Drosophila melanogaster: one gene and its partner. The protein of the gene in region 2 interacts with the protein of the main gene of each other region in a biochemical or structural test. Each region holds a gene or a part of one and is shown on either strand. Other genes may lie near its edges. The genes, in order: smg and cup.

What was found.
Region 1: the proteins of cup (region 2) and smg form a complex in vitro, tested with the Drosophila melanogaster proteins (one study listed by BioGRID).

Annotation. Positions count from the first base shown.
Region 1 is NT_037436.4:8,990,994-8,999,047, forward strand, and holds the start of smg (smaug), read right to left. Parts: upstream 6,102-8,054; 5' UTR 5,861-6,101; intron 5,579-5,860; exon of another isoform or gene 5,489-5,578; intron 5,257-5,488; exon of another isoform or gene 5,069-5,256; intron 4,925-5,068; exon of another isoform or gene 4,730-4,924; intron 4,573-4,729; 5' UTR 4,475-4,572; coding exon 2,106-4,474; intron 2,049-2,105; coding exon 1,088-2,048; 3' UTR 1,051-1,087; intron 545-1,050; coding exon of another isoform or gene 503-544; 3' UTR 1-502. Other genes in the region: CG5087 (uncharacterized protein), read left to right, coding at 7,462-7,616, 7,670-8,054. UniProt on the Drosophila melanogaster protein: Translation regulator that binds to the 3'-UTR of specific mRNAs such as nanos (nos) and prevents their translation. Prevents translation of unlocalized nanos in the bulk cytoplasm via the recruitment of cup.
Region 2 is NT_033779.5:6,661,454-6,666,775, reverse strand, and holds the start of cup (cup), read right to left. Parts: upstream 3,113-5,322; 5' UTR 2,627-3,112; coding exon 2,189-2,626; intron 1,846-2,188; coding exon 985-1,845; intron 513-984; exon of another isoform or gene 426-512; coding exon of another isoform or gene 1-425. Other genes in the region: Galt (Galactose-1-phosphate uridylyltransferase), read left to right, coding at 1-425; CG13771 (uncharacterized protein), read left to right, coding at 3,199-3,340, 3,402-3,644, 3,709-4,679; Ube4A (ubiquitination factor E4A), read right to left, coding at 5,077-5,322. UniProt on the Drosophila melanogaster protein: Adapter protein that plays a central role in localization of transcripts in the oocyte and in young embryos. Maintains RNA targets in a repressed state by promoting their deadenylation and protects deadenylated mRNAs from further degradation.

The DNA of each region.
Region 1 (8,054 bases), on a different chromosome or scaffold from region 2:
CATGGATTTGGCTTACGCTTAAATATGCAAAATACAATATGTGGTTCCGATTCTCAAACACAAACAGTGAAACATTGAAACTCTTTTCTGTTAAAGTTTAGTCTAGTGGTAGTTTCCGCCGTTGCGATTTCCTCTGGTGCAGTTACGGTTCAGCAAATATGTTCCTTTTAATTTAAAATAAATTATGTGTACGTGTATATATAAACATATTCATTATGTGACTACTACTTCATTCAGCAAGCCTAGTTTTGATTCGCGCAAACAATTATCAGCTCTCGTTTCTCAATTCTCACTTTTCAATTCCCTCTCCATCCAGCTTTCTTCCTTCTAGTTTTTATAGTTGCGAAAAGTAATCTTAGTCAGTCTCATGGTCACGATGCAGAGTTCATTTTATAATTTTTTACTAGATAAACCATTTTTCGTCGTCGTTCAGATCGGGGTATTTCTTTCATTTGGCGACGTTGTTGATAGTGAATGAAATAGTTGATGTTGTGATTGGGGTTTAGAATAGCGTAAAATGTTGATCAAATTTGGCCAAATTTTCCTAGGTAGAGAGAAGTTACTGTATTCTGTTGTTGCGATCTGTGTGTGTGTGTGTTGTGGGGCTTGGCTTGTTAGTTTAACTACATAAATGGCGACAACATTTACGAAACCTATACATTAATAACATTGACAGTAAGATGCCACGCCCCCGCTGACAACCGACATGGGATTACCGTCGGGGAGTGCAGCATGGGCTCCACAAGTTCATCGGCCAGCCGTTGGTCCTGCGAGCCCGAGTCAATTGATCATATCTTTGGGGGCGCCTTGGCATACAGTTAATAAACTTAACATTAAAACAAACTATCGTCTTACTAACTAAAAACGATTACAGAACGGGATGTGAAAGGAGACGCAGGGTGGACAACTTGACGCGACACAAAAATAGACACGAATCTTAAATATCTAAATATAAAAACATTTATGTTCGTTATGAAATCAAACATCAAACACGGCTCAAAGCTAAATGAACACAAAAACAGCTGGCAGCCTCAAATCTAACGCCATTACATGATGATTTCAAAACCCAGATAGCCCTGAATCTTGCTCAGTTCATTGCCTGTTCAGTCATTTGGCGACACAACGTCTCCAGCTGTTCTAGGCTCTTAAAGTCGTTCATCTTGTACTCGGTGACGTGGGGCGACATGCCCAGGCTGCCCAACGGTGACTGGGACAGGCAATGGTCTACGCCATGATTGTTGTTCTTGCTGCTTTGGTGACAGATATTGTGGACACAGGCACCACCACCACCATTGGAGCACAGACAGCTGCCACTGCCCACGGCGGCAGCAGCTGCTGCCAAAAGTTGCAACTGTTGCTGGTTAATCAAATTGTTGTTCAGCATGCTGTTGTTATTATTGTTGTTGATCAGGATCTGGGGCTGATCGTGCTGGTCCTGATTCTGGTTTGGATTACTAACCATCACAACAGCGGCCATGGTCTTCTTTGGTTGTTGCTCCGCACTGGACACTCCTCCGCTAAGTTTTCTCTGCTGCTGCTGCTGCTGCGACTGCTGATTGCGTTCCAATACCAGGTTGTCGTTAGATCCGTTGTTGGTGAGCACTCCCTGACCGGGCTTAAAGATCAATTGCTGCGGTTGCTGCGGACCTCCGGCCACCAGAATAAGATTATTCAGCGACCGGCGATGCGATTGTGGTGGCGTCTGCTGAGGCAGCGCTGGAAAGTGGTTGTGTTGCTGCAACATCTGTTGCATCTGCTGGGGATGATGATGCGACTTACTAGACGGCGGCGGTGGTGGCTGCTGCTGAGGATTACCCATGAAGCTTGGGTACGAGGAGCTCTTGTACTGCGGCTGATGGGATGGACCGCCGCCATAGCCGTTGTAGTCAAACTGTGGCAGAGGCGGCGGAGCCTGCTGCGAATGATGGGGCAGCGGGTGTGGCAGGCAATTTAGCGAAAAGTTTAGCATGTCGTTGGAGTTTTTGCGGTTGTTAATCCTATCGTTGCTGCCATTTTTAGTATCGCATTTGCGAGTCTTACCATTCCATCTAAAATAACAGCTCATTTTTAAAATGCATTACTTTTTATCTTATTGAAAACCTTACCTTGGCTTGTTAATGTTCCCATTGTTTGGCCCGACGCCGGCTGGCTTGACGTGATGCATTTTGGGAACCATGGAGATCTTCATTTTGGACAACTTAAACTTCAGGTCCTTGAGTTGACTGGCGTGATTCATAAATGCCTCGTTGTGGATAGAGCGGTCTAGAATCCACATAAGCACACCCAAAGTCTCGTCGTCTTGGACAGCATACGGATCCTGCTGCAACGTATTGGTCACAATGTCAATGACCTTAAGAAAACGCAGACCAATGTTTTCCTCCGGTGGTCCTGGAGACTCCAGTGGCTTCATTGGTGTCAGCACAATATTTGTTAGCTCCTCAACCGCCGTGCTCAGCTCCATTTGACCCGATAGCAGTTCTTGTTCTACCCGGTTAAGAATATTGGCCCGTTCCTTCAGCTTATCAATGCAAAGGGCAAGCTTGTGGGAGGCGCCCTTGGTGACGCCAACACTCTGCAGAAAGTCCTCGGTGATCAAGAGCATTTCCTCGTACGTCATGTTCTTGAACAGCTCGATGTACTTGTGCAGACGCAAGGATTTTAGCCAGAGTCCGATTCCCGACATGCCCACGTTGCGCGTGTGGAACTTAATATAATTGGGCTTGAATTCATCCAGACGAGTATCGGAACCGCTGTTCATCAAGGCGCCGCGCTGATGCTCAATCGATAAGGAAAAACTACGGGGCTTGTTGGCAAACTGTGCCAGATTCTCCGTTGAATTGGAGCAGTTGTCATTGACCGTGATCACCGATGAGTTAGACGAGCTGGAACAGCTAGAGATCGTTTGCGTGGTGAGGCTGTTAGAGCGCCGCGTCTTCAGGGCTGCAATCTTGCTGTCCAGGCTCCACCGGTTGATCTCTCCAAACTGATCGCCCACGTTTCCCATAAGGATCGAGGCATAGGGAGGAGGCTGAAGCAATTGCTGCTGAAGATTCGGCGGAGGTTGCGATCGATCCTCAACAGGATTTCCACCGTTACGTCCACAAAGGCTACTGCTGGCCAGACTACAGGCCTCACCCATGTCCGCCGTCACCGGGTCAAAATCGAGAATCTCCGTGCCATTCTTGCTAAATGACGTGTCATGATCGTCGCCACCAGCGATTCCCAACATAGAGCCTGCACCAGCGACCACACCGTTGACCAGGGAAGAGCTGCCCTCCAGCGACAGGCCGAGACTGTTCTGACTAGAAGCTAATTCGTTCAGGGTAATACCATTAAGATTATCACAGAGTGGATTGATCGACCCGCTGGAGCTGCCGCCTCCATTGCCACGCCAATCACCGGCCAATTTGTTTTGCAATTGCTTGCTGGGCGGGGCGATCGTTTGCCAGTCGTTGGTGCGTGAGGAACGGCTGCCGCTTGCGGGGCACAACGAGGATGAGGCCACCGACGAACAGGATGCTGTCGAAGAGCTGGTCGCCGAAGAGGAACAGCTACCACTGCCTGTTGAGCTACCACCAGCGACCAGTTGCGGCGAGGGCTGCAGGAAGTAACTGCGATTTGTCAGGCCCGCCGCAGCCGCTTGGATATGATCCTCCAAGTGACGCAGCCAAATGTTGAGCGAACGTCTGTCCTCGCTGGTGATAGCTGGATGGATGAGTAGGTACGAGAAGATCTGCTGCACCAACTCCGTGGGCACAATTTGCTGCATGGTGTCCTTGACGGCAACTGGTATAAGGGTCAGGTAGATAAGCTTGGCCTCCTCATTGCCCGGCTTCAGCAGAGGCAGCATGTTCAGTACTTCATGCAGAATGTCCTCCTTGCGGGCATACAGCTTCCGCTCGTCACACTGCGCCGATGTGGTGATCTGGAAGTCACTGCCGTAGCATGGCATCGAGTCCTTGTCGGACGACGAGGAGGACATGGCGTCGAGCAGGTCACATGGCTGGAACGTCTTGTAGGCGTTGAGTAGATTCTGCAGGTACACCGGATTGTTGGCATTGATGTCAATAACCACGCTGCTCAGATTGGTCTGGGAGGTGCCCAGGTTCTGGGTCAGGTTGCTGTCGATAGAATACTGTAGAAACTTGAGGCTCGGGTAGCGCAGCCGCTTGAGCAGCGCGTACATCACGACGGTTCGCTCGCAGTCGTTCCACTTCTCGAAGAGATTTGTCACTGTGGTCACCTGCTCGCAAAACAGCGCATTGGACGGCTGGCTCTGGCTGGGATTGGCGTTAGAATTGGGATTGCCATTGGCGTATGTCGCCGTCGTCGTGGCCGTTGATGTGGCCTCCTTGTGGGCTGCAGTAGGCGTTGATGTGGTTGGCTGCATCTCGTTGGATGCACTGTTAGAGTTATTGGTTTGGCCGCTGATGCCGGAGGTCATCGCGTTGTCAGTTCCAGTTGCGTACTTCATCTCGTTGTTAGTTGCTTCTTGTTTTTTGGGGATAGTTCTTACTATAGTTTATGGTATTGTATTTGTTACGGCTTCTTTGTGGTTATTTGGTTGCGTTGCTGCAAGTAAAGATAACGGGGTAGGATTAATAATTGAACTATTATGTAAAGCTAAACTTTGTGACTGTGGTAATACAATTTTTTTTATGCTCAATGAGCTGTATCATTCGCTTAAAGCCTAGTTTAGCCCAATCTAATCACTTCCATAGAAAAATACCACAATTCCGAACCACGTGATCCAATCAATAGCTTCTCCCTTATTCCATGGATTTGTCGCCATTGCTCCACTCGGGATTAGAGTGCCGTGCAGCGATAATAAAATAAACTTTAAGCCGCAAATAACGTTCGAATTTAATCAAATCAGTTTTCGCTAATTTGTTAAATTTACAAGCGCAATAGCAACAACAATTATCTGTAATTGACGAATGGAAATTAGCATTTGCTTGGTCGGCTGGCTTATCAGGAAAGCAAATAAACAAGCAACAAATATATAACACCTTCGATTCGCTTTGATGGCGCAAATGACGAGGGACGATAAATCAATAAAATAACAAACATTTCAAATACGAAATCGCTGATTTCGACTTGGCGGCGTTCGGATTTTGATTTCCGGGCGGGAAAGTAGAGCGGGGGCGAGAAGTTTGGTTAGGTTGTATTTTTTTTGCACAGTTTCGCGCTTTTCATTTAGTTTCGTTTGTGCCCATTTCGAATCTTGTTTCTTCTGCCGCCGTTGCTGTTGTTGTTATTATTGCTTTTACTCTGACGACTTTCTTCGATTTTTGTTGCCGTGTTTTCACAGTAAGCACACAAAACATTGAACAAATCAACGCATGGGAGTCAAAAAATTTGAAAATTAAAGTATCTATTTTTTAATGTAAAATGTAGTTTTAAGAGAAATTGCTGCATTTTATTTTTTTATCCTGGTTTACGACATCGAGTGTTGACTGTAATCTAAGCCAGAGACAGTGTAACTGACTGTGTATTGGTACCCCAACTTAAGTTAGTGTGTGTGAGCAAGCAGTAAAACATAACGGGCCCCAATTACTGCATTTAAAGCACATTCACTGCTATGGAATTTACCGATGTTAACTTCTTTGCTATTTAACGTAACGTTTTATATGAAATTTCACATTTCCCTGCGAGACTGGGAGCGCAAAAGAGTCGTTTGGGGCGACTCGATCTAACGGTACTTGTGCATGTCGATCTTTGAGGTTATGCGTCACTGCAATTGCTGTTGTTTTCTAACCGGCTTGCAAATAAAAAAATTACCGAAGTTCAACAAAAGTTCAAAGTTCAAAGATTGCAAGCACGCACACACACGCAAACGTAAAGGATACTGCAAACTCACACGCTCTTATATATTATCGTATTTTGGCTGCCCTTTCAGCAGTCGCGATCACAGGCGCTTGGCATATTCCGAACGCTTTTATTTACATATGTACGTTGCGAATAAATTTGATTATATCTGCAAAACTGCAGATCCAACCACACAGAACAGAAGAATTGGTTTAGCACAGCGAAGCTCAGCTGAAGACGAGAAGCTGCAGTGGGGAGCACCGCGGAGGAGGAGCGGCTGATGGCGAATGATTTGGCGCTGGCGTCAGCGATTTAGAAAGAAAATGGTGGAGCTGCAGAAGCAGCGCAGCGGCAGGCAGAGCGAAACGGGCGAAAAGGAGCGCGCGCCTTTTTTTTCTGACAGGATTGATGCTGATGCTGATGCTGCTACTGCTGTCAAGAAAATGGGGAGAGCACTCACTTACACGCACACACAGACGGAGACCTTGCTGCGCTCGTCGGCAGTGGTATGTGTGCGAGTGAGAGTGACACACTGAGCAATGCACGGGCAAAATTGCGGTAAATTACATGCATTACATTTAAGGGAGAGGGGTGGGGCTCCTGCGGGGTAAGCGGGTTTTGTTGTTTTCACCACACAGAGCAGCAGCGCACAGTACACAGAACACACAAGATTGGCCCCCAAAATCACGCCCCACCCACCTAGCCACGGTCGGCCAGACAACAAAAATATATAGCTACAGTGCGCTTGTGCCAAAATTCGTTCTATTTTTCAATTACCTTTTCGCCTTCTATTCGCCTGCTGCAAACCTTGAAATTATTTTCTGTTGCAATTCACAGTTTTGATTCGATCAGCACGAGAAACGAGCATATTTCGCTAATTTGATATGCTATCGGATCGCGTATTTATTAATTTATAATTTTCACCTTTGCTCGCGCGCGCGTTTGTGTGAGTGCGTATGTGTGTACTTTTTATTAGCACTTTTGGGCTTTAGCGTTGTTGTTTTTGCTAAACCATTACTTTTTTTTAGACACACAATTCATGGCGCTTACGCTCACAAACGCCCGATTACTGAGTACTGCGCACGGTTGCTGTTGCACTTGGTCGGATGCATGTTTCGCCAGCTAATCCATTTTTTCAGCAATTAATTAATTATTTATTCACGCGAACGCAGCGTTGCTAGTGCTGGAACAAAAATCGATGTGTACTCGATACAGTCGATCTTTCTTGCAAGCGGTTATCGGTTACTTTCCCTTGGTGATGGACGCTCAGTTGAGCAGCAAAGCTGCCCTAGGTTCGATGCCGTGCTCATGCAGCGCGGACTCAAACCACGGTTTTAGCTAGAAAATTGCCAACAAAAATGATCTCCGCGCTTTGGCCTATTTCTGTGGTTATTTGACAGTAAGCGGAGACGGTGACACTGTACCACCAATTGGAACAAAATAAGGATATTTTCTTTTTGCATTTTGCTCGATATGCAATGCAGAAAATATCCAGCGAGGCTCTGAATCAAGGCTCTGGGATAGCGTTCAGCTCGAGGAAGTGATTGAAACGATAAATACATCCCGGAACGGCCACAATCCCGACAAAAACAAACGCTCTGGTCAACAACAATACATCATCAACAAAATTCTTTCAACCTGCTGCAGAGCAAAATGTTTGCCCAAAACCAAAAGGCCAGCTTCCTGGAGCAGACAAAGGCGGCGCGGGAGGAGCGGGCACTGGAAAAGCGACGCGAACAGGCGGCCATCCTGCTGCAGTCCACGCTCAAGGGATATGCGGCGCGTAGGAAGTACCAGAAACGAATCATGTAAGTGTCTATCTACTTTTATGGAACATCCTAAATAGTAACCCGTTTTGCAGACTCGATTTCGATGCCATGTTCACTGAGAATCATGACGATAAGGATGCGGAACTGGAACTCGTGGCAAGCAACGTCTATCCGGTGCTTCGTCGCTACCTCACCCAGATCAGGCTGGACAAGAGCGATGTGCGTGCACGGGAGCGTCTGGAGCGCATCTGCCGTTACATCATCAAGGCAATGGAGTCGGAGAACACCAAGCTATCCTATGCCGCCCTCTGTCTTTTTAAGGAACGCAGCCTGCCCTGGATCGCGCACATCAAGATACTGCTCACGAACTGCCTGACATTGCTGCCGGAGCTGAAGCCGGAAAACCATGCCGACAGCTTGTCCCTTGCCCTATTTCTGCACACACTGGTAGTCTTCACGGCGCCCAAATCCTGGGCG
Region 2 (5,322 bases):
GGATTGTCATTGAGAATCGCGACTGGTTGGTGGTGGTGCCCTTCTGGGCCACTTGGCCCTTCGAAACCATGCTCATCTCACGCAACAACAATAAGCGGATCAATGATCTTACCGCAGAACAGCGATACAACTTGGCGCTGACCATAAAGGAGCTGACCACCAAGTATGACAATCTGTTCCAGTGTTCATTCCCCTACTCGATGGGTTGGCATGGAGCACCGACTGGGCCGGAGCATGCCCACGCATCCAGTGCTCATTGGACCCTGCACGCCATCTACTATCCGCCGCTGCTTCGTTCTGCCTCCGTGCGCAAGTTCATGGTGGGATTTGAGCTGCTGGCCATGGCCCAGCGGGATCTGACTCCCGAACAGGCAGCCCAAAGGTTGCGGGAGGTCGATGGAAAGTGTCATTATCTAGAGAAGTGATTTCGCTCGAGGGTATTTGTAGAATCCCAGATGGTTTAGAATTCAATAAAAGGAAATAGTCTAATACGACTGTAGTAATTACTTCATACTTATTCGCAATCAGTTGTAAAATGTTCTAGATTAGTGATTTGACTGTGGCGAGGGTCCAGCCAATGATCAGCATGATTGCCAAAGACCTCTGGAGGTCATGCAATGCAATCATTGATTTATCAGATAAGCTCAGGAATAATGCGACTTTGTGTTACCTAATGCAAAAGTGGGGAAAATGTTCTTAATCGATTAAGCGATTTTTTCTAAGCAGAAAAGGCGGGAAATATGATTTTTCATAAAAGAGCTTTTCTGAGCAGACCAAAAAGACAATTTGGCCTACAAAGGAAGGGGTATCAGATGGTCGAGGTACTCAAATGAATCGACGCCATGTGTAACTGTAACAATTACCGCACTGTCACAATCACTTTTTCCTTTTCAAATCATAAGTTTTCCATTAAGCTAACCAAGTCTATTTTATATAGAATATATGGCAAAATTGAGTAGAATAGTATAAGTTTAACTAGCTTACTTGGAACTCCGTTTGCGGCTGGGGCGGTTGGCTCTGGATGATGGACTCGTCACTGATTAGGTTCGGCTTATTTTTGTTTTTGAAGAAGGCAGGCATGCACTCATTGTTGTTGTTGTTGTTCATGTTTAAGTTAGCTGTGGTGGAGCGGGTCCGGAATCTTGTGCCGTCCGAGGTGCGCCAAATATTCATGCGGCGAAGCCTTCCCTCCAACTCAATGTCGTCGCAGGTGGCGATGCGAGGCATCACAAAGCTCTCCTTGGACCTGTGCATCAGGGCATTGAACATCCCGTTGCGAATGTCCATCAGGCGGGAGCGGGTATAGCTCTTGACCGGCTTGCTGCTGACCACCGGAGCAGTAGTAGGACGAACAGCCTTGGGTGCTCGCAGACTTCCTGGCTTGTGAATGCCTGTGCTGGGTGGACGCTTTTGCTGCACCTGACTAGACTGCTGCTCCGGCACGGCCTCCTTGCTGGCCACTTGCTTCCGCGGCGAATCGTGCTCCAGGTCACAACTAACGGCCGTGCAGGACAACATGCTGGAGGGCTGTGTGTACGGTGTGGATGCTCGGGCCGAGAGAACTTGCAGGGTCAGACCCTCGTCCTCGTGCAGATGCTTCGAGGGTCCATGCATCGGAATGGCCTCCCCCGAAATGGATTCGAGGATTTGATTCTGTTTGGCCAGTAAATTGATGATCTTACAACGCCTCTCCATCTCCACAATAACGGCGGGCTTTTTGGTCTGCAGCATAACAGCCGTGGATGTGGATGCCAACATGGATCCATCGCCGATCGTTTCTGGGTTTGAGCGCCTGGGTAACATCTCCAGGGCCACCACATTCTTGTTTTTGATGGAACGAGAAGACTGTTTGCCAAAATAAAAACAACATTGAAAAAACTTCATGATATATGAGAGTGCCTGTCTGTACTCGATGTAAAATAAGTGTCGAATATATGAATGCCAAGTCAAAGTTTCTTTAACTAAATTTTTAACGACATTTGTATCAGAGCTGCTCTGATTCCTAATACCATTTACGTGTTTAATACTGTGCTTTGTTGGCCAATAAATATTGCGAAGATTTTAGACTAATATCAAGTTTGACTCAAGAAAAGTTAAATTTAAAATGTATTTCAATATAAATATATAATCTGACAACAGTGTGCACTGCTAATAATAAAATTAAAAATGTTATATGTAATGAACTCACCTCAGGGCTGGCCTTTAGCGTCCGCTTGTTGGCCTCCAACTTGGTGATGGCCTTCTCCAGTGCGTCCTTCAGCTTGAAGGCGGGCAGCTTGAGGTAGCCCAGTCCGGTGGCCAGGAAAGCGCTAGTCGGCAGCGGAGGAGGCGGGGGCGGAGCGCACGGATCCTCCCACTTCTCGGAGTTGGCCTCGTCGTCGTCATGCTCTTGACTGGCATTCAGAGCGGTGGCCTTGGTGGCTAGCGGAGCCTGGACTGGAGTTGGTGGCGGTGGAGGGGGCGGGTACTCGAACTTGCCCTTCTCAGCGGGGGTCAGCACCTCATCCTGCTGATCTTCGACTGGCAGCGGAAGCTGCTGATGCGCTGGACGATCGGTTGCACCCGCATTGGTGGCAATTTTCAGGGCGCCAGCGCCATTTTCTTGCTCAGCTTCGGCCATTTGCATAGCATGGCCATTCAATTCGATCGCCTCCTCTTTCATAGGGTCCATACTCACTAATTGTTGGTTTTTTTTTTGGTTAAAACTTAAAACGAGTACTTTTGATCGGGTCAAATATATTGAAATGTATGAGAAATTGAACGAAATCACGTTTAGCACAGGTTCGTTCGATCTTAGGATCCGTTATTCGGCGCTGCTACGATGAGTAAGCAGGACAGGAATAGGAAAAAATACCGAAAGCGAATGGTGGAAGATGGAGGATGGATTGACCAGTGTTGACAAACACTGATCTGCGACTTATACAGCTTTCAAATAGTTAATTCTTTGATTCCTAAACAAAACAGCGAATTTATTAATAATGCGCTACGACATTTACTTTTGACAACAGAAAGTAGCTAAGCCTGGAACGTGATAACTTTGGAAACTAGTACTTGTGATTCTTAAGATTTCGATTACATAAAAGCCGTTATTCTGTTACAAATTTAAAAAATTAAGTGCAAACGATTTTAACGTACTGTATCTTATTATTTGACAACTATACATATGAATATAGCGGAGCACACAAACCCAAAATTTAAATGAATTTGAGCCAGCACTTTGGCAGAAGGGTGATCGCCGTGCGACACCCGTGGCACCAACTGGGTGCAATTCGTCACTCGTTCATGGAATCCGGGAGGGAGCTGCTGGATTCGGGGCACCGCTCGGGCACGATGGCAGATGGTAACCGCGGGTAAACCTCCACATTATCGTCCACTTATCCAACTCCCAATACCAAGCACAGTGGCGAAGAAAATCCGTGAGCACGTCGGCGTGGAAGGAGGCTACCACATCATTCCCAAGAGCCGGGATGGACTGCTCAAGTTTCAGCCGAAGCAAGACGAACTGCCCAATCGCTCCATGCTGGACTCACAAACGACTGCCCAGGTGCTCCTGGAAACAGATGCTCTGTTGAGGCAACGATTCGTTTACGGGCGAGGCTTGCTTCGCATGGGCAGGATAATTGAGGAACTTGACCTTCTTGCAGGTAAGTAAGTAAAGTATACTAACTAACTACTCCAAATACCTGATTAATGAGAGTGGCCTTGCAGTGTGGATCTGCCATCTTCACATCCATCTGCCCAATCTGCCGGAGGGTGTGCCGCTGCCATACACTTTTATCACCATGCTGGTGGACCACGCCCACTTCTTGCAAGACAAGTTTATTGCGGATGCAGATGTGTCCCTCTCCGGTCACGTTTCATATACGGACAATAACTTCATGGAGGTCACGGCATATGTGCGACAAAGCGGAATGTTGCTGGCAAAGGGCATTTTTGTGGTAGAGGCTCGCGATGCCATCAATAATGGCCCTGCTCCTGTCAATCCTCTGGTGCCGGCCAATGAGCTGGAAGAAAGTTTACACCAGGAAGCGCAGAAGCGGCACCAGGAGCGTGCCAAAGCGTTGTATCGCCTGGAGTCGCAGCAGCCCACCAAGGAGGAACAGCAGCTCATGTACGAGCTATTTACCCGAACCAAGGGCGATGACGGACCTTCGCCGAGTGATATGACTACTCTACCACCGAATTCCCGCTGGATGTCCACGTGGCGCCGCAGAACCCTGATGCATCCGTTCCCGGAGAACCGAAACGAATCGAACACCATTTTCGGAGGGTTCATCATCCGCAAGGCTATCGAGATTAGCTACATGACAGCCTCCCTCTACTCCAACCAGCGTTGCATGATCCGCTTCATTGCGGACGTTACGTTCGCCCATTCCATTCCCGTCCATAGCTATATAAAACTGAAGGCGTACGTGGTTTTCACCCACGAAAACTACATTCAGCTGCTGACGGTGGTGAATGCAATCGATGGCAATAGCTTTACGGAGCTTAAGTGCAATGTGCTGCACCTGACCTACTCCTGCAGCAAAGCAGTTCCGGAGATCCTTCCCAGAAGCTATCACGAGGCGCTGTGGTACCTAACTGGTCGTCGCTACTTCAATCGATTCCGTGAATCAGTAAGTCACGACATGGACAATGGATCTGCCGTAGAAACCAATGGAGCGAAAAAAGACAATTAGAGATTGGATTTAATAAAACATATGCTGTCGATTTGCATTATAGATATTTTCATTTGATGAATTAATTGAATATACACATTTTTTCAGCGAAACGCCGTTTATTTAAACATATATGTAAACATATTGTGAACACAAAACCAAATATGACTACAATAATTTATCCTTTGCATGTTATTCGTACACATTGTTTGTTAATTAATTCGGTTGACAGGAAAAAATGGATTAAGAATACATTTTAAAAACCACTAATTATAAAACTGCACATACACATACCACCATGTATGACTGGAATTCTTATGAACAAAAAAACATTGATTATTGCCCTAACAACCGAATCCCCGTGGAGCTAACTCTTTGGTTGGGCAACTGAGCCAGCAGCTGCGGGTTCGCTGCTACCTCAACTGTTCGAGCGGGCCGCCTCCCGCTTGCCCTGAATCCAGCTCTCAATTTCCTGCTTCAGAGCCTCGTTGGACTTGACCTTATCCATGGTGAGCGGTTCGCGGTTAAAGGGATCGGTCTGATCGCTCAGAAGATGACGGGCGATGGTGGAACGATCCACTGTTACCTTGGAGCTGGGCAGCACCACAGGGTCGGTCATAAGCGTTGAGATAATCGGATCGAGGTACTCTTCCGGCGCATCAGC